Linked DNA regions of Xenopus tropicalis. The protein of the gene in region 1 interacts with the protein of each later gene in a pairwise test. Links are inferred from orthologs where the notes say so. Each region holds a gene or a part of one and is shown in the gene's direction. Other genes may lie near its edges.

The links. The genes of interacting proteins can lie anywhere in the genome.
Region 2: the proteins of gabarapl1 (region 1) and atg4a interact in binary tests that used the Homo sapiens proteins (3 or more experiments, as listed by UniProt). The two-hybrid records come from large-scale screens. The link is inferred for Xenopus tropicalis from reciprocal best matches to the Homo sapiens genes GABARAPL1 and ATG4A.
Region 3: the proteins of gabarapl1 (region 1) and scyl3 interact in binary tests that used the Homo sapiens proteins (3 or more experiments, as listed by UniProt). The two-hybrid records come from large-scale screens. The link is inferred for Xenopus tropicalis from reciprocal best matches to the Homo sapiens genes GABARAPL1 and SCYL3.
Region 4: the proteins of gabarapl1 (region 1) and tax1bp1 interact in binary tests that used the Homo sapiens proteins (3 or more experiments, as listed by UniProt). The link is inferred for Xenopus tropicalis from reciprocal best matches to the Homo sapiens genes GABARAPL1 and TAX1BP1.

The regions. Positions count from the first base shown.
Region 1 is NC_030683.2:18,818,247-18,822,297, reverse strand, and holds the start of gabarapl1 (gamma-aminobutyric acid receptor-associated protein-like 1), read left to right. Parts: upstream 1-1,251; 5' UTR 1,252-1,334; coding exon 1,335-1,424; intron 1,425-4,051. UniProt on the Homo sapiens protein: Ubiquitin-like modifier that increases cell-surface expression of kappa-type opioid receptor through facilitating anterograde intracellular trafficking of the receptor. Involved in formation of autophagosomal vacuoles.
Region 2 is NC_030684.2:52,216,564-52,220,063, reverse strand, and holds part of atg4a (cysteine protease ATG4A), read left to right. Parts: intron 1-735; coding exon 736-917; intron 918-2,131; coding exon 2,132-2,210; intron 2,211-3,010; coding exon 3,011-3,144; intron 3,145-3,500. UniProt on the Homo sapiens protein: Cysteine protease that plays a key role in autophagy by mediating both proteolytic activation and delipidation of ATG8 family proteins.
Region 3 is NC_030680.2:118,619,637-118,623,136, forward strand, and holds part of scyl3 (protein-associating with the carboxyl-terminal domain of ezrin), read left to right. Parts: intron 1-1,307; coding exon 1,308-1,410; intron 1,411-1,620; coding exon 1,621-1,726; intron 1,727-2,919; coding exon 2,920-2,997; intron 2,998-3,500. UniProt on the Homo sapiens protein: May play a role in regulating cell adhesion/migration complexes in migrating cells.
Region 4 is NC_030682.2:42,570,269-42,573,768, forward strand, and holds part of tax1bp1 (tax1-binding protein 1 homolog), read left to right. Parts: intron 1-1,772; coding exon 1,773-1,876; coding exon of another isoform or gene 1,877-1,880; intron 1,881-2,308; coding exon 2,309-2,510; 3' UTR 2,511-3,500.

The DNA.
Region 1 (4,051 bases):
CACAGAGAGGAAGTTAAAGGGGATTTCCACCCCTAAAATAGTTTTTTGCATAATGAAAAACAATCCAAATTTCCAGTGCACATTCTGTGATTTTCAAGTTATTTGTAAAGGAAATTTCAGCTAAAAGCTGTGTTTGTTTATCTCTTTCTGTTCTCTGGTTCTGACTCTTGAAACAATGTAGCAGGAGTCAGTTCTCCTCCAGGTCTGCTAATCAGTCGGCTTCTGTTATTGTGTTACCACAGTCAGAACCAGCAGTGCAGAAAAGGTATAAGTCAGTGGTTCTTAACCGTCATAATGCCGCGACCCTTTAATACAGTTCCTCATGTTGTGGTGACCCCCAACCATAAAATGATTCCTAACCCCTGTGAAAGGGTCCTTCGACCCCCAAAGGGGTCCCGACCCACAGGTTGAGAACCGCTGGTTTATCTTTTCCTGTTCTCTGGTTCTGAAACAATGTAGCAGGAGTCAGTTCTCCTCCAGGTCTGCTAATCAGTCGGCTTCTGTTATTTTGTTACGACAGTCAGAACCAGCAGTGCAGAAAGGGTATAAGTCAGTGGTTCTCAACCTTCCTCATGTTGTGGTGACCCCCAACCATAAAATTATTCCTAACACCATCAGAAATATGTGTTTTCTGATGTTCTTAGGCGACCCCTGTGAAAGGGTTGTTCGACCCCCAAAGGGGTCCCGACCCACAGGTTGAGAAGCGCTGGTATAAGTGAAAGTGTGGCTCGGCGCCAGGGAATAGATTATGGGCTACAGATCAATGGCCGGAAGTGGTTATACAGGGACTTTGGCCGCTCTCTGACGCAGGTTAATAATGAGGCCCAGGTCCCTGGCCAGTCGCAGGTTAATAGTGTTATGTACCGCAGTGCTGTACTGTTGTGTCACCTTGCCTTGTGACTCTGGCTTTCACGTGATCCACAGAGAATAAACAGGTGACTCAGACAAACAGGTTTGCGTGTCAATCACTTGCCATGCCCTGTGCCACTGCCTATTTACTATATCTCATCCTGGCCTGCACCCTTCCCACTAACCCCCACCCTAAAAACCCTGGAATATGATTTCAGCGCCTGCGAGCTATAGGGTTCTTTAAACTGAGACTGTTTATTTTTCATTTGTCCTGTCTGGCAGAGAGAAGGTTAATTTCAGCATCCCCCTTTGTTTTGTTCTGCTGGTACTGCCCAGGGGCGGGGCTTAGTGATGTCACATTGCCCTTGCTCAGTACACTGTAACATAGCTTGTTATTGCATCTGCTGAGCAGTAGACAGCGAGGGGCATCAGCTGACTGATATATACATTTATATACTGTATATACACTATCTCCTGGGGCAGCCATGAAATTCCAGTATAAGGAGGATCATCCTTTCGAATACAGGAAGAAGGAGGGCGAGAAGATCAGAAAGAAATACCCGGATAGGGTGCCTGTAAGTAGGGACAGCAGAGCTGTGTCATCTCCCTATGGATCCCACTCTCCATCCCTTGTATCCCTTGTATCTCTCTCCTACCCACACTGTATCCCTGTCCTACCTACACTGTATCCCTTGTATCCCTGTCCTACCCACTCTGTATCCCTTGTATCCCTGTCCTACCCACACTGTATCCCTTGTATCCCTGTCCTACCCACTCTGTATCCCTTGTATCCCTGTCCTACCCACACTGTATCCCTTGTATCCCTGTCCTACCCACGCTGTATCCCTTGTATCCCTGTCCTACCCACTCTGTATCCCTTGTATCCCTGTCCTACCCACTCTGTATCCCTTGTATCCCTGTCCTACCCACGCTGTATCCCTTGTATCCCTGTCCTACCCACGCTGTATCCCTTGTATCCCTGTCCTACCCACGCTGTATCCCTTGTATCCCTGTCCTACCCACTCTGTATCCCTTGTATCCCTGTCCTACCCACTCTGTATCCCTTGTATCCCTGTCCTACCCACACTGCATCTGTACAGCACCCTAATGTCCCCCTGTCAGCACAGATATGGGTTCCCTTAGAGTGAATTCCGACCCAAAAACTGCTTATTGCACAATGAAAGACAATGTAATTCCAAGCGACTTTCCCATGTACATTTGTTATAGTATTTCGGTGTTCGATGTCATTGCTATGGGAAGTACCGTCTGTTCCTATTCTCTGAACTCCTCCTGTGACAATGGAACAATGTAGCAGCCCCTGGGCGGGCAGGACTTCTGCTACATTGTTTCAACTCTGGAAAGGAAGCGGCAGAAAGGGAGAAATTAATGTTAATTTCAACGGCAATTACACTAAGTACAAACCATTAAAATGGAATGTACATTGGAAAGCTGCTTAGAATGACATTTGCTATCAGTGTGCGTAAAACAGGTTTTGGGTGGAGTTCCCCTTTAATTCCTTGGCTTTCTGCTGACGGCACAGAGCTTTGTAGTTGTGCTGTTCCTTCGGTAGGGAGCTTTGTGCTCTCTGCCAGACTTCCTATGGGCCGCAGTCATTGTTAGAGACATCTGTAAGAAAGAAAGCCACTCATTGTCACCTGCCCCTCCTCCGATTCCTGGTCTGTCACCTTCTGCTGCCACTGAAACATGTACTGTCTGTTGCTATGGACTGTCACTGCCACTGCTGCAAAGCCATTGGCTGTCAGCTGCCCCCACTGCAGAGCCACTGACTGTCACCTGCTGCCTTTTCCTTGGCTCATACACTGCCCCCCCCCCCCTGCTATAGATCTGTAGCTTTATACCCCCCTCCCAGGCTACAGCTCCTCATTATATCAGTCCCAGCAGTGCGAGTCCTGCATGTCACTTTCCCTTGGTGCAGAACATTGTCCTGTCTAGTTACTTATTGACTGTCACTTTCCCTAACCGCAGAGCTTGCAGAACCATGTACTGTCACTTATGTAAGCTCTACGGGGCAGGGACCTCCTTCCCACTGTGTCTCATACCACATGGCACTTATATATATATATATATATATATATTGTATTTATTTATTATATCACTTGTCCTCCCTGTGTGTAATTGTGTATATTGTAAGATTTTACAGCGCTGCGTACCCTTGTGGCGCTTTATAAATAAAGTTATACATACATACATACATACTCTGGCTGCAGAGCCTTGTCCTGCCTTGCAAGCGACTATACACACTCGGAGCTACTAGTAGCAGCTACTTTTTCACGGCTCATTAAATGATCAGCATTGTCTAATTTAGTAGCCAAGACAAGTAGCTGCTACTAGTAGTTCTGTGTGTCTTCACCCTAAGAAGGATTTATCTCAAGGTGGGGAGGCATAGGCCTTTCTACAATGCCCATGTTTGTCTTCTTCTCCCAGGGTAAATACATTAGTAATACTAGTCATCAGGGACAGACCTTCTCCTGCTCCCCCCCTGTATATAATAATTACGTTATTGTCCGGTCCCCTGGTCATAAACTGTTATTCACAAGAGCTATGAATATCTTGTAACTGATATCCTTATAAACAGTGCTTAGTGATGTCATTAGTTATAAACGGTGCTCAGTGATGTCATTTGTGTTACATGCAGGGTCGGACTGGGCTGGCAGGACAAAAACGTGGTGGGCCCCACTGGCCCAGAACTGATCCCTGCTGGGCTCTCCGAGGCCCGCAGGTCCCCCTCTCCCAATGTGCCTAAGTATGCACGCGTGGGGGAGGGGGTTGGGTGGGCAGCAGGGGCCCGAGGGTGATGGGGACCATGGTGGAGGTCCCTTGGGGGGGGGGTGCAGAGCCCCCGCGGTGACTTGTCTTACAATTTTGAGTTCCCTGACCTGTATAAAAGTGCTCAGCCTGTGTCCTTGTGCGTTTATATGGCTATGGGTCTCATATGTAACTGTTAATATCCTTGTAATACACAAGAACCATGAGTTTCCTTTAACATATATCCTTATAAACAGTGCTTAATGATGTCTTTGGCCTTGTGTTTTTATATGGTCAAAGTGACTTATAATATCCTTATATTTGTATCTTTCATATAACCAAGAGCTTTAATGTGGATTCTATAAAATGTTAATATTTATACATTATAGAAGAGATTGCAGGGCTAATTAGTAATCTATCCCCCATATGTTATACA
Region 2 (3,500 bases), on another chromosome or scaffold:
TCTAACCATAGAGTCTGCCTATTTCTATACTTCCAATCAGTCTGTATAAGCTCCCAGAATATGTATAGAGTCATCTGTTAATCCAGCACAGGAAGGGGCAGATTCACTAGATGTGCACCAAGGGACTGTCTATCCTAAAAACCTTTTGGTAAGTAGCATAGTATTCCACCTTACTGCCACCTTACTGTTATGGTTGGCAAAAAACTTTTATTTTGCCAGGAGAGGTACATGGATGGTATAGGAGACTAAAGAGTTTGAGCTACTTATAATGGGGCTAAAGGAAACATTAAAGGGGATCTCTACCCAAAATCTTGCCTAATGAAAGTTTAATTCTCAGCAACTTTTTAGACACCATTTAAAAATGGTATTAATGGTAACCACTGCTCCAACATGATTACTCATATGTGACTGAACACTTTACTCTCAGTGAGCCTAACCACTTGACATCAATCTACTGTACTGTAGATTTTTACACTATTTTAAGATTTGCTTATTAGAACTCACGTGCTGCCTTTCATTCAGTTTTACACGGTTTATTTTTTTTCCATTTACTGCCATGCATTCCACTAAAATATCTACATTTATGCATCAACAATAAAGGTGGGAAAGTAATCCCCCAAAAGTAATGTGCCTATGCAATTGTGTGATTTATAAATTTTAATCTACTTGTGCAAAGAATGTTGAGCAGACACAATACAGGTGTATAAATCTGATTGGTAATGTTTTACCATCAAGAGACCATGTGTAAGTACCAGCCACACAGCTGCAGCATGGCGCAGGCTGCCTCCTATCAAAGCACCTGGAGCAGATGTAGAGACGCATCAGGACAAAGCTCAGGATGGAGGCCACTGCTGCTTATCGTGCCTCTCCGTCTAGGGATAAACCACATCAATCCTGTATATGTTGATGCTTTTAAGGTGAGTTATTGTAATCATTGCCACAACTTTATTCATATGAAAGTAATTGTAATGACAGAACTGTGAATTAAAAACCAACACCCTGGAACGAAATGTTGACAGTACAGGTATAGGATCCGATTATAGGTATAGGAATTCCTTTTTCTCTGTAATACTAAAACAGTACCTTGTACTTCAGAGGTCCCCAAACTTTTATACCTGTGAGCAACATTCAAGTGAAAAAGTGTTGGTGAGCAACACAAGCATGAATAAAAGTTCCAGAGGTGCCAAATAAAGGCTATGATTGACTATTTGGTAGCCCCTTTGTGGACTGGCAACCTATAGGAGGCTCTGTTTGTCAGTACACCTGGTTTTTATGCAACCAAAACTCGCCCAAAAGCTACCCCTGGGAGCAACATCTAAGGGGTTGGTGAGCAACATGTTGCTCGCGAGCCGCTGGTTGGGGATCACTGTTGTACTTGATCCCAACTTAGATATAATTAATCCTTATTGGAGGCAAAACTATTTGAATGATTTTTAGTAGAAGTAAGGTTCGAAGATCCAGTTTACGGAAAGACCCTTTATCCAGGAACACCAGGTCCTGATCATTCTGTCATTCTGGACATATATACTGTACATATATGTAGAAAAAGTCTGAGGCACACACTTATAGGAGTTACAACCTGGGGGCAAATAAGAGAGACAATATAAATATGTAAAAAATGCTGATGCACACCAGGAAAATTTTATCAAAAAAAGATACTCATTTTATTTCCATCGACGTTCGATCCTCACTCATATATATATATATATATATATGATAAAGTATCATTTAGATTAATCGCTGTGGTACACTAGGCATTTCTGTCATTCATATATCACTTTATTAAAGCTGGTATATTACCAGTTGGGTATCTAGTGACACTGACATAAAAACATTAATAGTTAATATGCCCTTATCCTCAGGAGTGCTAAAATAATTTTTAAAAAAAGTACTTAGATAATAGCTATTTATTTTGTTGTTCATATTATTAGGCAAGCACCTAGGGACAGATTCAAAGTTTTAAGGATATGATACCTTCCCATAGGAGAATGGGATTAAAAAAGAAACAAGAAGCACCCAATGAAAGTTAGTGTGAAGATGACCTATCCTCAAGAGTGCTAAACTAGTTTCATGCAACAAAAAAGTAACTGTGATGATAATTTTGTTTATTTTGTGTTTCTTTTCTCTCTAGGCATGCTTTAAAATGCCCCAGTCATTAGGAGCTTTAGGAGGAAAACCAAATCATGCCTATTATTTTATAGGGTTTTCAGGTAATGTTTCTTATTGAAAACCTCTCCCTACTTTATTAGTTTAGTATTGTTCTTACTATGCACACATTTACTTTATCAACTGTTAAAGAAAGGATTGTAAATTCTGAAAGTGCAGCTATGGAGAAATATTAACTCGATTGCTGAAAGGGTGACCACATGGGGCATTCTGTGGGAAGGTGTGGCAGCAAGTCTGGATGGCCCAAGTGGCACAGTACACCAAATATAGGTAAACTTTACCATAAATAAACCTCAACATGGAGCTGCACCCTTTATTTAAACCATTAAATGGGTAGTTCACCTTTATAACCTTTAAGTATGATGTAAACTTTGATATTCTGAGACAGTTTGCATTTGATCTTAATTTTTTGTGGTTTGTGTAAGTTATTTAACATTTTGTTTAGCAGGTCTCCAGTTTGGAATTCCAGAAGGTATCTGGTTACTTGGGTCCTATTTACCCTGGCAACCAGGCAGTGGTTTAAATGAGAGCCTGGGAGTAGGAGATGTTTCAGTAGGAAATAACTAAAACAACTATATATATATATAAAAAAAAATAATGAGACCAATTGAAAAGTTTCTAGGAATTGGACATTTAATGATAAATGTTAAGGTAAAAGTGAACAAAACAATCAGAGGCAAAACTGCAAGCCATTTTACCCAGAATTCAATATAAACAGTCTGTATAAAACAACACAGTAATGCAAATAAATAAACAATATTTCACTAAAAAAGGTCTGATCGTAAATTAATTTCATTCTGAAAAATATTTAGGTGGTTACCTACTGTTCTATTATTTTCTGTAGGAGATGAAATAATCTACTTGGATCCTCATACCACGCAGACGTTTGTAGACACCGAGGACCAGGACCAGACGTACCACTGCCAAAAAGGCCCTAACAGTATGAAGGTTTTGAATCTGGACCCTTCAGTAGCATTGGCAAGTTTGTTTACAAATGCACGGTTTTGTTTATTAGGATAAATGCTAGACCAGGGGTCTGCAACCTTTAAGACATGAAGAGCCACTTGGACCCGTTTTCGAAAAGAAAAAAAAACTTGGAGCTGCAAAACCATTATAAAACAAATCTAACACAGCCCCCCTATAATGTGCCAGAGTCCAGGCCCCCCTATAATGTGCCAGAGTCCAGGCCCCCCTATAATGTGCCAGAGTCCAGGCCCCCCTATAATGTGCCAGAGTCCAGGCCCCCCTATAATGTGCCAGAGTCCAGGCCCCCCTATAATGTGCCAGAGTCCAGGCCCCCGTATAATGTGCCAGAGTCCAGGCCCCCGTATAAT
Region 3 (3,500 bases), on another chromosome or scaffold:
CATTAAACATGCAATGCATAGTTAAAAAAAAGTAAGGTGAACTAAACCACTCCTTTGTGCATTTGTAAATGAACGCGCTAAAAACATTGGTACCTCCATCGTAAAGTTCTCTGCCCCCCCCCATACCAACTATTTAACTGCAGAGGACTTACATAGGAGTGAGTGGAGTTGGTGCCGCCATCTTTGGCCCCATCACATCCAGTTTCAGAATCCTTGTCACAAATCTGGTTGGTACTATTACCAATGCCAACTAGAAAAACCATTCATGATTTGTATGGTGGGTAAAACGGAGGGTTTCTTTTGGTAAATGTGAACAAATATTTGCTGCTTATTTGTCTGCTTATTTTGATCTGTGCATTAGATTACCTCTTCAGAGCAATCATAGCAGCTCCCACTGATAAAAATAAACAAATGCAGAAAAATAATAGCAACAGTAACATATGCCAGTAGGTTTTACTGATCACAAGTCAGTCGTATAGGTATCTGTACTCTAAGGCTCCTGTGTTTTCTGTACTTACCTCTTCATTTTTTGGGAATGGTATTGAATAGATTATAGAAAGGTTAAAGGCATATATTCTCACATAATTAACCCCTAGCTCTGTAATTCAGCTTCAATCGTTACTAGGGTATAATTACTGTTCAGTTAATGTATGTCATGTGAAAGGTGCTTATGTACCACTTTAAGGGACAAAAAGGCATTTCCCAACAAATTACTTCATTTATTTATTTTATGACTTGACTTGTAAGTTTTTCTGCAGCGTCTGTCACATTTAATATTGCATTTACTGGTGCACTATTCCACTGGGTAATGGTTTCCACAGTAGGTGTGATGGTGATTTTTGGGTCCCAAGATATTTCTTGCTGTCAGCTCCCTGGAGATTGTTCTTGGCTGACTTAATTAATGGCATCTTTATCATCAGTTCTTTGTGCAGCTTCACAGAAGCTGGCATACAAAATCATCTATGTTTATATCCCGTTGCTCATGTTGCTCTCTGATTGTGCTCATTGGAGCAAATATCATGTTTTGTAAATGTGAAGTTAGTGTTGTGCCCCCAGCTAATAGAGTTGTGAATTGCAGAAAAACTGAAGCAGCAGTGTTCATGTACAGCTTGAGCTTTTATCCAGAACAGACAATATCGAAGAAGCTCTGGTTTCATTATGGAACACCATACTATGAGGCATGCTTCTAAATGTGCGCTTAGAATAGAATATATCCAGTTTCTTTTCTGTGGGGTTGGGGAGAGGAAGCAGAATATGTTTATACTGTATTAATGCAAAAAATGTTAATTTTTTTGTTTTTTGTACAGTCGGCGGAATTTGGGATTATTCCAATGGCCCTCAGTCATGCCCGTGATGCATTCTCGTTTGGTCGACTGATTGAAAGTCTTTTGGCCCATGTTAGTGATCAAAGTAAGTACCTATTTTCATACAGAAATGTTTCTTTTGTATTGTGCCTAAGTTTCCAGGCCCTACTTTACTTTAGGAACTGATTTTTAGGATTTTTTTTTTACAAATGCCAATTTTAAAATAATAAAATATAGAACACTTGGATATCTCTAGTGAACTGATTTGTAGCTGTTAGAGGTCATTTTAGTTATACATTTGCAAACATTTTTTTAGATGAACCATTGTCCAACTTTAAGTCAACCGTGAAGAACTCTCTCCTGAACCCAGAACCAGAACTCCGACCTGCACTCTCCACTTTACTATCCCATGATTTCTTTAGGTATGTAATTGTTTGAATCCCACCTCAGTATCTGTTACTTTTCATATCCTATTTGGGGGCACAGATAATGGCACTGAGGTGTGCATCTGTCTGTACCCAGCAGCTAGTTGACAGATTTATTCTTCCTATAAGGAGGGCCTTGGGCTCTTGTTTTGGGAACTTAAACGCTAGAACCAATCCTTCACTTGACAGGTATCAGATGTTAGGGGACAGTCTAACCAGTGCTAATGGCTAATGACTTAAACACATGCTCGCAAAGAAATAAGGATAGAAGATATGTGTGTTGAAGCTCAGTAGGCCTTTATCTTTAATTACAGTTTTCATTTCATTCATAGTGCAAATGTTTGTTTTGGCTTTGTTTCTATTCATTGTCCTAATATTTTAGTACTTATTTCCCGTCAATAAATATATAGTACAATATAAATTAAACCTGCTGTGGAAAGACATCCTACACCTTTTCTATTTTAAGTTGGGAAAATAACTGTCTGGTTCAAATCCAGACAATTTTTTTATTATTTATTTATTTTTTCCAAAACTGTTTCAGTACTGGATGGGTCAGCCTTCACAGGATTCTGTCAGCCACTGTTGTCCTTCTCAGGGAAATACATGCAGTTTATGTGTAAACCAAGCAAATATATAAACTGTTGAATTAAAATGTAACCAGTTGTACCAAGGTACCTGCATAACCCCTCCTTCATGAGCTTTCTCTTGCTGGAGTCAGTAACATGGCACATCTACATAAATTAAGCTGCAGCCAAAATTCTGCTGCTCCAGTTTGGAACTGGAAGTTTCCAGCAAGTCATTTTTATTGGAGTCCCTGCTATGGTGTTTATTTACATTTTTTCTGCATTAGCACCTTGTGTGCTTGCAAACAGAGTTCCAACGCTCTGTCTGTTTCAAGTTTGTCCCTGAGGAAGGTCACATTTTGTGACTGAACCTTTAAACTAATCAAATAAATGTTTAATGTGCCTTTGATATATATTTATTATATTTTTGTGCTTTAATTACATTTGACAAAATTATGCCATGGTTATATGTTGAGCCATGACCATTTGTCATACCCTGAAGGATGTAGATAAGGATTGCATTTTACTTACTTGCTGTACCTGACTGTTATGTCACAACCACGTGGCCACTAACAGTGACAGACATTTTACATATCCAGTTACCATTTTGTTTTCTTCATTGAACAGGAATGATTTCTTAGAAGTTGTGAACTTTTTGGAAAGCTTAACTGTGAAAACAGAAGAGGAGAAGAATGAGTTTTTCAAGTGAGTTTTAAATGGCATTTACTGCATATCTATTATCCCAGTGATGCTGCAGCCCAGCTGTATTACACTTTTAGTATTACTTGTAGGAAATATTTAGTTGCCCTCCCAACTCTCTCTCCCTTTTACTGTCTGTTTTAATATGTTGGTTTCAATAGGAACTTCTGGGGGAATCAAACTAATTCCTGTTCAGAATACATGATCATCTATCTAAAAGACTTTAGTATAATTAATGGCATTGTCAGAATAAGTTTCTGATACATTTGCAGTCCTCTGCAGCTTTTCTAGCCTAATAATCAGATTGACAAGCAATATACCTACCTGTTTATGGGAAACATGGTACCTGAAGCACAAGTAGCAATGATAGTCAGACCTCTGTTCAGAAATGCTCTCCGTTTTAGCTGGTTTCTGCTCTGCTTGAGCATTTTTGTTAGCATTGTTGCTTTCATCCACCTCTCGTCACTTTGGGCAGGAGTTCTACAATGTTTACATGTACTTTTGGAGAA
Region 4 (3,500 bases), on another chromosome or scaffold:
GTGCCCAAGTGCAAAACGCCTGTTATACAGAAGAAGCATATTTGCCAATGTTACTGTTCTCTTCTGTCACCACATCTTTTCTTTTATCCCATAAATACTGGTGTGGACTGGGGAGCTTGCTCGCGCGTTTGCGCATGCGCTCGGGAGGGATGGGGGGCGGGCTTGGGGTGCCACAACTTTAAATCCGGTGCTTCGTGTGCGTTAGAAAGGTGGTGGGCACACTGTGCCTCAGTACAGATAAATTATACTGTTTTTTCACCTTTAGTTGATCACTGAATAATATGCGCTTACATTTGCCCCGGAGCTTACAGGCTGGCACTTCCATTCCAAACAGTGGTGATGTTATGAGTGTCCACAAGAAGAAGGCTTATTATAAAGTGTGGCCAGTTGGGAACCATATTTGACAGAACTTTGAGAGTGCAGCGAAAAAGTTTGAGAACCTGCTGCATGGCCTGTGGGTATCTTGCTGTCATCCATGGGTTAAACACGATGCGCATGGATTTCATTCTGTTCTTTATTGTATTGGCAGCGCTGAGCTTTCTGTGATGGCTCTGATTGTCTATCAGCACAGTGATTGCCATCCATGGTGGGCGGCTATAGATCTCTGCTGTTAGTGCGCGGGATAGAGCAGCTGTCAGAGCTGATGAGATGTAGTTTTTGCTCAGCAGGGCAATTTAAGTGATGCGCCTGAGTGCGGAGAGACACGTGTGACATGCTTGAGTGGCGCTAGCTCCATGTGCACATCACTCCTGGCTGCGTGCTGACACGCGACTCTTGTGTTGCCTTTGCTCACTCTCACATTGTCAGAGGGAACTAGTGAGTTGTGACGTGCTTCCAACTTGCATGGATTTGCTGGGAGCCCAAATCAGAGATCTGTATACATAGTCTCATCTGTTTGACTATCTATACTTATACTGTGCAATAGTTACTTTAGCACCCAATTCCCCTTATTGTGTTGGTCTGTAGTAGGCTCATTCACTTATAAGCTCTCAAAGACTCATGTGAATGGTTTAGGGTTAAGGGCTGTGACACACGGGGAGATTAGTCGCCCGCAACAAATCTCCCTTGTCGCAGGCGACTAATCTCCCCGAAATGCCATCACACCGGCGAGAATGTAAATCGCCGGTGGGATGGCATATGCGGCACCACAATTTCCCCGAAATCGCGGAAGTTGCCTTGAGAGGAAACTTCTGCGATTTCAGGGAAATCGCAGCGCCTGCGTATGTCATCCCACCGGCGATTTTACATTTATTGCGGGCGACTAATCTCCCCGTGTGCCAGAGCCTTAAGACACACGGAGCTATTAGTAGCAGCTAATTGTTACGGCTACAGACAGACAATCAGACAATGCTGATCATTTACTGATAACTGTCTCTACGTGTGTTTTAGCAGAGGCAATTCTCAGTATTCTCTATGGCAGGGTATTTTCTGGTGTAGCTGTGACAAGTAGCTGCTACTAGTAGCTCAGTGTGTCTTTACCCTAATATGTAACACACGTGTTCAGCTTCAGCCACAGTTCCTGGGGGACTATAATAACATTGATGCACACATTCAGCGTCACACAGTTACTGGCACTCACATATATCCCTCTTGTTTCCTGGCCCATCACTGCACCAACTGTATTGCAGTCTCTCATACAGAAATCCATGTCAGCCATCAGTGCTTTTCTGCAAGGAACATATATGTGGAATAAAGCTCAGTAGTAATGTTATCATATTCACATTGCTGTGTACTGTCTGTTAACTGGTGTCCTTTTGTTTTTGCTTTTAAAGGATGAAGACGATGATGATGATGACGATAATGTAAATTTTGAACAAACTCCTGATCCTACACGCATCGCCATGCATGACCAATCAGGCTTCTGCTTTGAAGCAGGGTAATAACATTTGGAATATTTTTATTAAAAAAAAGTTTCATGCAACTCAGATATCAGTAGATAGCAATCATGTGTAATAGTGTTTCATTTTACCTGACCCCTCTGGGCCTTTTACTGGGGTCAGACATGTCTGTCCCCTAATCCTGCCGAATGCCATACGTGTCTGTCAGAGACAACTCGTGTGTTCTGTGTTGGAGAATTACCCTTGGGAGCAGCCACTGGGACCAAACCCCAGAAACTGCTGAGGCATGATGGTTCTTTTCCCATGCTGATACCCGCACATCCCAGGCGCAGGGCAGAGTTCAGTTTTCTGGAAATAATTGGATTTGAGTTCTGTGCAGCCAGTTTTGTGTATAGGGGGGCAATTGAGTGTGTGCATTGTATATTGCCACCGCAGCACCCCATGGTTAATGGCTGAATTTGTTTTTTTAGGTACACTATGAATAAGAAGTGCCCTCTCTGCCCAGTCTCATTTCCCCCCAACTACGACCAGGGCCAGTTTGAAGCCCACGTGGAGAGTCACTGGAAAGTCTGCCCCATGTGCAACGAGCAGTTCCCCCCAGACTGCGACCAGCAGATCTTCGAGCGGCATGTGCAGACCCACTTTGATGGCAGTGTCTTGAATTTTGACTAAAGCCGCCATGCTTGTTGTATGTTTGTAATGTAGCGGTGAGGAGATCACCTTAAAAACTAGGTGTGCAATGTAGCTTAAAGCGTCACTCCCCATCAGAACCAATGGGGGCAATAAATCTGCTTGGAAGTAGGGATCTGTCATTACTTTCCCTTAAACAGACTATAACGTATGTGGCCATGGGCTGTCCCTTCATGATTTCATATTCCTCAGTATCCGCACTTGTCTGAACCCATCCTTAGTCCCCTCATTCAGGGCAAGCAAAATGGCAGTTTCCATTGATATATACTTTAATGAAAGCAGCATATGGCTTGGTTGCTGGTAATATGCTGTAATTATTTGCACAGACATTTATAATAGATTAAAGTCAAGTGAATCCATTATTCTTATACCTATCTGTTTAGCGGAGAGTGGGATAACCCACTTATACACGAGGGGGTGGGAAACATTTCCCTTTAGAAATGTTCTGCAATGATTTAAACATAATTTCTTGCTTCTCTTACGATATGATAGATTTAACTTAGTGTTAATTGCAGTTAATCCTTTAAAGACAAGAGAGGCCACGGTGTAAAGGGCACAAAACCCAAATGCTACCAGTGGTAGAAGAAGGGCAGTTCAGTGATGGCATATGCTAGTTAGGGAGTAATCCCATTGGTCTGATTGCAGCATGTCTATTTATACTTCTGATAAAGTGTTCTGTGGCGCTGGGAAAAATCCACCCATTGCTTTCTATTCATCTCTACCCTGAGGTAATATTACATTAATAGCTTGGTTATTACAGGCGCTGTGTGATACCCGGAGGAGCCCGCACACAACACTAAAGGGCATATTTATCAAGCTGCGCAACAGAAGAAGTGGAGTTATGATGCACTACACATAGCGATAAGCTGGGAATAAGTGGGAGGCGGAGAGTACAATTCTCTGTGGTGGTTCCTTGTTTTGTTTAATAATTTACCTTTTAGCTCAGGAGAAATTATTGAGCAAATTCAGGTG